3 linked regions of the Macaca mulatta genome follow. The protein of the gene in region 3 purifies or fractionates together with the protein of the main gene of each other region. This does not show direct contact. Links are inferred from orthologs where the notes say so. Each region holds a gene or a part of one and is shown on either strand. Other genes may lie near its edges.

The links.
Region 1: the proteins of SLF2 (region 3) and SMC5 purify together in Homo sapiens (affinity purification with mass spectrometry; 3 studies listed by BioGRID and IntAct, with this or other methods). This does not show direct contact. The link is inferred for Macaca mulatta from reciprocal best matches to the Homo sapiens genes SLF2 and SMC5.
Region 2: the proteins of SLF2 (region 3) and SLF1 purify together in Homo sapiens (co-immunoprecipitation; 3 studies listed by BioGRID and IntAct, with this or other methods). This does not show direct contact. The link is inferred for Macaca mulatta from reciprocal best matches to the Homo sapiens genes SLF2 and SLF1.

The regions. Positions count from the first base shown.
Region 1 is NC_133420.1:101,360,270-101,363,925, forward strand, and holds part of SMC5 (structural maintenance of chromosomes protein 5), read left to right. Parts: intron 1-2,320; coding exon 2,321-2,365; intron 2,366-2,786; coding exon 2,787-2,882; intron 2,883-3,334; coding exon 3,335-3,439; intron 3,440-3,644; coding exon 3,645-3,656. UniProt on the Homo sapiens protein: Core component of the SMC5-SMC6 complex, a complex involved in repair of DNA double-strand breaks by homologous recombination.
Region 2 is NC_133411.1:101,055,185-101,058,840, forward strand, and holds part of SLF1 (SMC5-SMC6 complex localization factor protein 1), read left to right. Parts: intron 1-2; coding exon 3-148; intron 149-1,878; coding exon 1,879-2,042; intron 2,043-2,842; coding exon 2,843-2,976; intron 2,977-3,656. UniProt on the Homo sapiens protein: Plays a role in the DNA damage response (DDR) pathway by regulating postreplication repair of UV-damaged DNA and genomic stability maintenance.
Region 3 is NC_133414.1:113,006,579-113,010,234, forward strand, and holds part of SLF2 (SMC5-SMC6 complex localization factor protein 2), read left to right. Parts: intron 1-906; coding exon 907-1,083; intron 1,084-2,598; coding exon 2,599-2,696; exon of another isoform or gene 2,697-2,706; intron 2,707-3,327; coding exon 3,328-3,415; intron 3,416-3,656. UniProt on the Homo sapiens protein: Plays a role in the DNA damage response (DDR) pathway by regulating postreplication repair of UV-damaged DNA and genomic stability maintenance.

The sequences.
Region 1 (3,656 bases), on a different chromosome or scaffold from region 3:
TAATGCTACAATTGCCATATTTAACATATTTTTAAGATTATAGGATCTTAAGCATTGTAACAGGCCATGAAAAATATGATGTGTCATAAAAAATAGGGAGTTTTTCCACATTTTTAAACTGAATAGATATATAAAATAATGTTGCTTCACAGATCAATGTTATTGGTACTATAACATTTATTCTTCCAATACAAATGCCTTTTAATGGGTACAGTTGGAACATACAGTTTTCCATGGAAACATTGTGCCAGTAATTGGTATATCAGAAATAACAAATAGGACATTTTAAAAATAAAGGGAAAATGAAAATGTTTCCCCGGAAATTGGGGTGTTTAATTAGGGTTCAATGGGAGCTGAATATTTAGGACTAACATCTGCCAATAAGAAAAGGAAAAAAAGAGGTCTTACTTCCATTATATGTTTTATGCTGACATACCACTCAGTAAAATTAGGAGATGCTGCCCTTTAGTCACATCCCACTGTTAATTTACATACCTCTGTGACAAGTGGGGATGATACTTTGCCTGCATACCTATTCAGAATAATGTCAAAATGAAATTATAAAATAAATTTTAAAATATCTAGTATTGGTGTGTCTTTTTAAAATTCTTAATTTCAAATGTTATCTATTTCAATAGATAATGAAATGACTACTAAAGATATAAACAACTGGAAAAAAATTAATGGATTATAATTTTCAAATCCTCAACTGATTTATTTTATGATATCAGACACAGAATCACAGAATGGATTCGACTATTTGGATACATACTAGGAACTCAGTAGATATCTTTAAAACAAATTGAGAAGCTTATTTCTAAAAACAGTAGAATATCTTCAGAATACATTGTGTTGTTATAAAATAAATATAAGTACAATCTGTACTAATTTTTTCTTTCAGAAAAAGCATGATTCTGTTCTTGATAAGTCATACTGTTTTTGAATCAAAATTAGAAGATGATTAATCATTAAAATGTATTAATTACCTCCTATATGGCAAGCATTGAACAAGACAGACATACTTCCTTCTCAGCTGAAACTTATATTCTAGTCTGGAAGATTAGGTAGATGAAAACACAAATCAAAAATCAGATAATGTCAGATAACAAGAAATGCTAAGAAAAATAAAACAGGGTGAGGAGATGGAGTGACATGGATGGGAACTTGGTCAGGGAAGCCTCCTTTGAAAAGATACCATTTTATAACAGTCCTGAATGAAGAGAACAGATCAGTCAAGTGAAGATGTGAGGGAAAACTATTCCAGACAGAGAAAACAACTTAGACAAAGCCCAGAACAGAAGTATGTTTGGGACATTTCAGAATAAAAGGAATCTCATTGGGGTTAAAAATTATCCAAGCAGAGAAGAAGGCAGAGGCCAAGATTATGTAGGGCTTTTAGACCATACAAGGAATTAAGGTTGTATTCTTTTGGGATGGACTCCAGTGGAGGATCTTAAACAGAAAAGTGACATTACTACTTTTATGAAAGAGCACTCTTAACTTCTGTCTTCTAGATGGAGGATAAAGTAGGGATACAAGAATGGAAGCAATGAAACCATTTAGGAGGTCATTTCTTTGGACCACGCAAGAGATATATAATGGCATGAATTAGGGTGATAGCACTGAAGAGAGAGAGGGAGAAGTTGACAGATGTTAGATATCTTTTAGTGACAGAGCCAGCAAGACTTGCTGATGGATTTGACATGAAGGATAAGAGAGAGAACCCCTAAATTTTTCACCCGAACAAATTACGGTGCTATTTACTGGAATGGAGAAGATTGAAGGAGAAACAGGGTTGCTTGAAGTGGTAGGTAAGGTGGGTGAAATCCAGATTCTGTTTCACCATCTTAAATTTAAGATGCCTGTTAGAGTCAAGTGAGGATATCGAGTAAATAAATGTTGGACACATGAGCTTAAATCTCAGTGAGTACGTCAGAGATTCAACAAAGGAATATTTGAAGGTCTATAGAAGTTGAACTGCTTTCTAAGAGGTTAAAATAATAAGCTGAAGATATTAGATTAATATGTCAAGATCTTTTTCAGGGTTTCAGGATTCATTTTGTACCATGTAGTATACAGCCTTTGCAGGTCGTGCTAAGTCAAACAATGTAATTGTTTGCCTCCCCTCAAAAAAAAAAGTGTCTGTTCTAATTTGTCCCCATGGCATGGACTCAGAAGATAGTACCGTGGTGAAATTCAACTGTCAAAGTAATTAGATACTAAGGATGCTTTTTTAGTTCTTCATAAGTGCAGTATAAAGTTCTAACTTCTTGCTCTCTTTCAATGCCCCACATATTCTGGACCCATTCTACCAATTCAGCAAGTACCCACCATTCCAAATGGACACAACTCCTCACTCCCCATGGTATGCAGTACTCATTCTTTTTTCCCAAGCTCCTGTCTTCCCTCTGCCTTGCTCCTCCCTAGCCATTTGCTTTAAGGCCCAGAGATGAATTCTAGGCCTTTGGATTCTCTTAACTCTCCTATAGCATGAACTGATACTTCTTTTCTCTAAATTCCCTAGCCTATAAGATATGTACTGCTTGTTTGAATACTCAACATCAATACGTTGCCTTAAGGTGTTATCCAGTACATACATTTTGTTTTCTTTAAAATACAAACTTTCGAAGGCAAATGACCCTGTTTATTATTCCTTTGTATCCTTGTGTACCAGCATGCTGTAGAACAGATAGTAGATAACTTATTCAGCAGATTATTTTTCTTTTAACTATTTGAATGGAACCGTTTTCATTGTATCTATAATGATGGGCAATTTTTTTCTTTAGGTTTTCCAAGACCTTCCAAACACATTGGATGAAATTGATGCTTTATTAACTGAAGAAAGATCAAGAGCTTCCTGCTTCACGGGACTGAATCCTACAGTATGCCTGTTTCTCTACTCCCATTCTGCATCCAGCCACCACCACCACCACCCTCCCCATACACACACATACACACACAGAGTTCCCTCCAGTACTTGCCTCCCACTCTGTACTAGAGCTCTTGGTAATGATAAGCTAGACAGCAGGAACAATGTGCTTTAAATGCCAGATTCTGAATCTATTAGAATTTTAAATAGATTCTTCCTAAGGAACACAATGTTCTGTGCCTTTTCTTTATAAAAAGAATAGTCGGGCTAACCTGAAATACTGCAATGTCTAGTTTTTCAAGGATAAAAAATGTCACTTTCAGTATGTAATAAGAACATAAATTATTTGCATACAAACTACAGCACAATTGCCATTTTCAGTTAATGTTTTAATCAATGCAAAATTGTATATACTTTTATACTTTGGTAGATTTATCTTAAAGAAGTTTTTTTTCCCCCTGCCAGATTGTTCAGGAGTATACAAAAAGAGAAGAAGAAATAGAGCAGTTAACTGAGGAACTAAAGGGAAAGAAAGTTGAACTAGATCAATACAGGGAAAACATTTCACAGGTAATTTTTTTAGTTTTTAATCTTTACTTTTTATCATGTGATTATTAATGAAATGGGAATGTAGAATAATGGAAAATGAGATGACATGCTTAAGAGAAGTGTGTTATGCCCAGACTGATACTGATATAAAATTTACGTGAAATTTTGTGTCACAATATAGTAATACTGCTTTTAAATTATGTTTTTATATTGTGTTTATTTGTAGGTAAAAGAAAGG
Region 2 (3,656 bases), on a different chromosome or scaffold from region 3:
AGACTTTTCTTCACAGGAATTAGAGATTTTCATTTGCTCCTTTTCCTCCTCCTGGCTTCAAATGTTTGTTGCAGAGGCAGTCTTTAAAAAGTTGTGTCTACAGAGCTCTGGTAGTGTGTCTTCTGAGCCACTCTCTCTTCAGAAAATGGTAAGCACCTCTCTATTCTGAAGTGAGTTCACAAACTCAATTTTATTTATTTATTTATTTATTTATTTATTTATTTTGAAACGGAGTCTTGCTCTGTTGTCCAGGCTGGAATGCAGTGGTGCGATCTCGGCTCACTGTAAGCTCTGCCTCCTGGGTTCATGCCATTCTCCTGCCTCAGCCTTCCTGGTAGCTGGGACTACAGGCACCGGCCACCACACCCAGCTAATATTTTTATATTTTTAGTAGAGACAGCGTTTCACCACGTTAGCCAGGGTGGTCTCGATCTCCTGACCTTGTGATCTGCCCGCCTCGGCCTCCCAAAGTGCTGGGAATACAGGCGTGAGCCACTGCGCCCGGCCCACAAACTGAATTTTAAAATATTCTTGGTTATTTCAGGTAAGTAGGCAGAATATATTAATTCATAAATCTTTCAATTCTGCATAAAAGCTAGTATATTTCTATCTCAAAATAGAGTAGTGAAAGCCAGCGGCAGTGCTGAGTGCCTGTAGTTCCAGCTGCTCAGGAGACTGAGGCGGGAGGATTGCTTGTGCCCCAGAATTTGAAGCTATAGGGCATTATGATTGCACCTATGCATAACCACTGCATTCCATCCTGGACAACATTGTGAGACCCCTTCTCCAGGGGCAGTTTGGAGAAGATAATCACCAAATAGAAATTTTAAGGTGGAGCATGATGGCCCCTTCCTATAATTCTAACACTTTTGGAAGCTGAGGCAGGAGGATCCCTTGAGCCCAGGAGTTCAAAACCAGCCTGGGCAACATAGCAAGACTCTGTCTCTAAAAAAAGTTAAATTGGCTGGGCATGGTGGCACATGCCTGTGGTCCCAGCTACTTGGGAGGCTGAGGTGGGAGGATCCTTAATCCCAGGAGGTCGAGGCAGCAGTGACCTGTAATAACCACTGTATTCTAGCCTAGGTGACATACTAAGACCCTGTCTCAACAACAACAACAAAAAAAAAAAGAAAAAGAGATTTTAATTTCTTTTGAGCAGAGCCAAGGGTTAATCATAGAAAAGTAAAAAAATCCTTGTTCTCTAATAAAATTCGTATGTGAGGTTATTATTTTGGAAAAAACTAGATCCAACAAAATTCTAAATGGTATTTAAAAAGCAAAATATTATGCATATAAGCTACAATTGATTTAAAGTTTTCCAGTTTTATTTTGGCTGTCTTTAGATATTAATATCCGGTAGCTCTAGCAATTTTTTAATTAAATGAGAAATACGTATATTGGTCAGATTAGGCAAATTCTGTTTTGCAGCAATCCTTGCCTTTAAGGATGTTTTTATTCCTTATTTTGTTTTCTATTGAAGAAAGACTTGTTTTCTGTTAAAAAAAAAAAAAGGCATTATCAAAATGGAAATTAAGAAATACCAGTTGTATGTAAATCATACATATGAAATATGCAAATGAATCATACACATTGGGCATAAGACTAATCAAAAGAGCTTTCTTAAATGAGGATCAAAATTGAATTAGAAAAAAATAATTATTTTTAAGAAGGTATTTTTCTGTTTGTTCACATGGTATATTGACTATGACACAAAGCTAGCTTTCTTAATATTTTATTATGTTCAACCAAGATAGAGTGGCAACCATAGTGATGCAACCAGGAAAATATAACCAAATGTAATAATGAAATGAATCAAATAATTTCTCTTTACTGCGGTTTTTGTAGTTGAGAAAATAATGCGATATTATTTTTCAACAGGTATATTCCTATTTACCAGCCTTGGGGAAAACTGGTGTGCTTGGGTCGGGAAAGATTCAGATATCAAAGAAAATAGGACAGCGGCCTTGTTTTGACTCTCAGAGAGCCTTACTAATGTTGAATGGTACTAAACAAAAACAAGTCGAAGGGCTGCCGGAGTTACCGTAAGTGATGCTGATATCCCAGCTGTGCTTTATTTTGGAGTACAGCTCTTTTTCTGATGCATTTCTTGAACTTTATGGTTATCTGTGATACTGTCTGAATTATATTGATTAGACCAAAACTCAATTTTTAGATGTATTTGATCAACATTTTCTGTTTCTGTAATTCAAGGTACATGCTTTCTTTCTGCTTCCCAAAAGAAATAAAACTGGTCATCCAATTATTGATGCATTGTTGATGAAATACAGTTTTACACAATTTTTGTTCTATGATTTGAATTACTACTTTGCCATAATATAGATGGAATTTCAGAATGCATGGTCATATGAGATATCCTATATCGTAATAGTAGTTTTCCCAAAATGAGAAACCACCTCTAAAAGTATAGGGTGTATAAAAGTGTATGTCGTATAAAACTCAGTAAAGTTCTGTGAGAGGAAGAAGAGAATAGAATCAGAATATGAAACTGAGAATGGGGAGCAGAGACCTGCTTGATCTTAGCTTTCTGCTTTATTCTCTCTGTCAATATATGGTTTAACTGGTCTTTTGCTCTTTATTTGACATTTTGTATTTATAAATTTAGTGAGCAGTTGGGGGAGTAAGACTAATAAAAGAAAATTAGTGCACTGAAATTTGTTTCTACACAGTTGAAATAAATTTTAAAATTAGAAAGCAGTAAAGATTGAATGAGCAAGGGGGTTTAAATTAAAAGGAGGCTAGACTTTTAAAAAATACCATCTAATGTATGCTGGCACGCCTTGCTGAAAAACAAGCTTTCCTTATTTCTTAATTTTCCTTTCAGAGACCTGAACCTTGCTAAATGTTCCTCAACATTAAAAAAATTGAAAAAGAAGTCAGAAGGAGAATTGTCCTGTTCCAAGGAGAATTGCCCCTCTGTAGTTAAAAAGATGAATTTTCACAAGACTAATCTAAAAGGTATTCCAAGTATCTAAATTAATTTATGCTAAGAACTTTTCGTTGTTATAGTCAGTACTTGCAGGTTTCACACATTTGCCCTGATGAATACTTGAACTTAAATATTGGACTAGGTCCAGGAAGTACCTTCTTGGATAACGTATTATTTTCTTGAACTGTCATTTATGCAAAGAAAGTGATTGTTTAATACCCAGTATAATAGAGTATTCCTTCCTTTTTTTCCTCTCCTTGCCGTTACAGATATGAAACACAGTGTAGCATTCATTGAGCTCATTCCAGACTTGCCCGCCTTACTTTTCTATTCCATCTCAACCTGTGCTGCTTAGGATCAGTGTCTTCTGATTTGAAAGTATAATTCAGTCTTCATCTCTTTCAGTCCTAGACATTTTGTGAACAAAGAATGAAGAGTAGGCTATGTTACATAGCTGTGTTAAGCATATGGGCTCTTTTCTTCCAGGCATTGAGCCCAGACTATGAAATGTGTTTGGCTTTTGGTTCTAACTATACTGGAACCTAAGTACCTAAAGGATGAAATAACAAGAATAGCGTAATAATTCACTTTGGCACCTCTTTTACTTAGACACCTCTTAACTTGCAAATGAATCTTCCGGAAGTCTTTACCTGGCCAAAGTAAATTGCTGAGTCTTTTTTGTTGTTGTTGTTATTTATGAGTTATATCT
Region 3 (3,656 bases):
ATGGTGTGAATCTGGGAGGCGGAGCTTGCAGTGAGCTGAGATCACGCCACTGCACTCCAGCCTGGGCAACAGAGTGAGACTGTGTCTCAAAAAAAAAACTCTAGTTTCTTACCAGGTGATTTCCAGTCTCTGAAATTTCTTAGCAATAATCTTTGTATTAAAGATTGTTTTTGCTGTTTTTGTGTTGTTTTAATATTAGTGATGAACAGGAACTTTAGGTCAGTTACATCATTAAATAGTTTTGAAACCAATAGTTTTTTATAAGTAGGATGTATGAAGAAAGAAGTCTTACAATATAATTTAGTGATCAAGCATTAATGGCAGAGGCCGGGCACGGTGGCTCATGCCTGTAATCCCAGCACTGTGGGAGGCCAAGGCGGGTGGATCAGCTGAGGTCAGGAGTTCGAGACCAGCTTGGCCAACATGGTGAAACCCTGTCTCTACTAAAAATCGCAAAAAAAAAAATTAGCCAGGCATGGTGGCAGGTCCTGTTATCCCAGCTACTGGGGAGGCTGAGGCGGGAGAATCACTTGAACCTGGGAGGTGGAAGTTGCAGTGAGGCGAGATCACACCACTGCACTGCAGCCTGGGCGACAGAGTGAGACTCCGTCTCAAAAAAAAGAAGGTCAAAAAAAGTTAATGACAGTGTGAAACATTTTTAGTTGCTGAATTGAATCAGTGTTACTGAACCATTAAGAAAATCTCAAAAATGGAAAATGGAGAAGAAAATGCCACTTAATTCAACTATTAACGTGAAGTAGTTCTTGCCTTCTTTTGTCTAGACATCTGATGTTTGTTTTCTTTATAGTTCTTTTTTGCGTCTTTTGTCAAAAAGTTTATAATTAAAACCCTAAAAATAAAATACACCTTCTAAAATATTTTTGTCTGTGCATTTATGTTAAACAGTTTCTAGGCTTGTGTACATCTATACATCCAGAAGGTTACCAGGATCGTGAAATAATGTTGCTGATTTTAATGTTATTTAAAATGAGTTTGGAAAAACAGCTGAAACAGATTCCTCTAGTAGACTTTCAAAGCCTCCTGATAAACCTGATGAAAAACATCAGAGATTGGAACACAAAGGTAATGTTACTTAAAACTTCATTATTAATTTTTTATATAGCATTACAATTTGACTCATAGTGCATATGGAATTAATACTGTTTCTAAACTCAAGATCTTTGGCAGATTAAAAATGAACTGAGGAAGAGACTGTTTGCTGGAGCTGTATTATTTAAATTCATGATAATTGAATTTTTTCTAAAACTTCAGCTCTTTATCCAACAAAAATGTGTTTATTGGGGATTTCCTGTGGACTCAGCATTAATGTAGGTGCTAGAGATTGAGCTGTGAAAGAGACAAAGCCTTTGCCTTCATGGGGCTTTTGTCCTAGTCAAAGGGTTAGATAAACAAGTAAATGTTGATTATATTATCATGTCAGGTAGTAGTTAAGTACTACAAATTAAAATAAAGCAGGACATGAGTACAGCAAGACTGGATGCTATGCTATTTCATATAAGGCAGTCAGGGAAAGGCCTTTCCAAAATAACCTTGGAGCAGAGACCTAAATGAAATGACGGAGTGAGTCATACCTACAACCAGAATTTGAGTTGAACTTCTGCAACCATATGGAGGATGAACATGTATAATTTTTGTTAGGACTTTTTAAAAATTATATTTTTCAGTCTTTTTTGGTGGAAAAATTAAAATAGGCAGAAGTAAGGCAAAGAGTATAATAAATTCCTAAGTATCACTTTGCTTCAATAATTGAGACATAATCTTGTCTAATGTAAAACTGACCCTATATTTCCTTTCCCTGCTCATCAGATTATTTTGAAGCAACTGTTAGGCTTTTAAAAAAATTGATACACAATGGTAATACATATTTGGGGGGTGTTAGGCTTTTTTTTTTTTTTTTAGACAGCATCTCCTGTCACCCAGGCAGGAGTACAGTGATGCAATCTTGTCTCAGTGCAACCTCTGCCTCCTAGTTTCAGGTGATTCTTGTGCCTCAGCCTCCTAAGTAGCTGAGACCATAGACACACGCCACCCTGCCCAGCTAATTTCTGTGTATTTAGTAGACACAGGGTTTTATCATGTTGGCCAGGCTGGTCTCAAACTCCTGGCCTCAAGGGATTCACCTTCCTTAGCCTCCCAAAGTGCTGGGATTACAGGCATGAGCCACCACACCCAGCCAGGTGTTAGGCTTTTAAAAATACTGAAATAGGATCCCTAAAGTGCAAGAAATCCCAAATCAGGAATATATATAGTCTTGTACAACTCTGATACACATTTATGTTTAGATCAGTTTATCCTTCCAAGAAGGACTGTTTAAAGATATGATGTAGTACAAAACATGAAAGCCAAGTGAAATTCTGCTAAATGTATCTGTTCAGTCCATTTAAGATAGTATAAGTAAAACAATCTGTGTATTGTGTACATTTTAGCAGATTCTAGACTCCATGCTATTTCTAAAAATGTGTGCCCTTATTTTGTACTAGTGCTTCCATTATGGCAAGAAGGGATGTAGATGATCTGTTGGGTGTTTGATTTTACTGTTCTGTTTGAAAAGAAATCTTACATGTTCTTTTTTTTCAGGTGCGTGAACTCTGTCTGGGCATAAATGAACTCTCGAGTCATCCCCACAACCTTCTGTGGTTAGTACAGCTGGTCCCTAATTGGACATCACGTGGAAGGTATTGAAAAGTGAGAATTAAACATTAAGAAATTTTATAATTTTAGATTAATGAAATGCCTTGGTTCTTTATTTCCATTCATCATTCTTTGAATGTTAGATCAGAGATGTTTATTTCATATTCAGTTGTGAGAAAAGGCATTGATAGCCTGATTCTTTCTTACTCTAATTCTTAACTCAGGTCGTTATGTAATTTTTTTTTTTTTTTTTTTTTGAGACAGAGTCTCACTCTGTCACCCAAGTTGAATATTTTTTTATTTTTAATTTTAGTTTATCTGTTACCTTAATACAGATGACATATTCCACAAAAATAAATGAATCAGCTTTTTTTTGCTTTAGTAAAAATAAATTTCATCAGTAAAAAAAAATAGGTTTTCTGTCAGTAAATCATCAGGGTCAAAGATAAGGCTGTTAAATGATTTACTGAGCTTCAGATAATTCAAGTTTTATGTACAAATATTTTACATGAAAATTTTACTGTTCTATAACAGCTTATATGTTCCTGTACAGACTTCTCTTGAAACATTGCCTATATTTCCAATTAGAACTAGAGCTCCTCTTGACTCATTCATTTGCTTTTCAAGCAGTATTAATTAAAATACATTCTAAATACTTTTAACTTCTAATTCTAGGCAACTGAGACAGTGCCTCAGTCTAGTGATTATTTCAAAGCTTTTGGATGAGAAACATGAAGATGTTCCTAATGCCAGTAATCTGCAGGTATAAATAAATACATTTTTATTTTTAATAAATGGGAGAGGTAATGAGAGGTATAAGGAAAATTGATGAACCCTAAGTCAAAGGTCCTGGGGTCAGAGCTCAGCTCTCAAGCATGATACTGTTCATGTAATCTCTAGCACACTTAACTAACAAGGTCCAGTTTTTTCATCTGTGAAATGGAGATAGTATTGCACCCTCCACCACATAGAATGGTTGTGGACAATCAGCTGTGAATTAATGT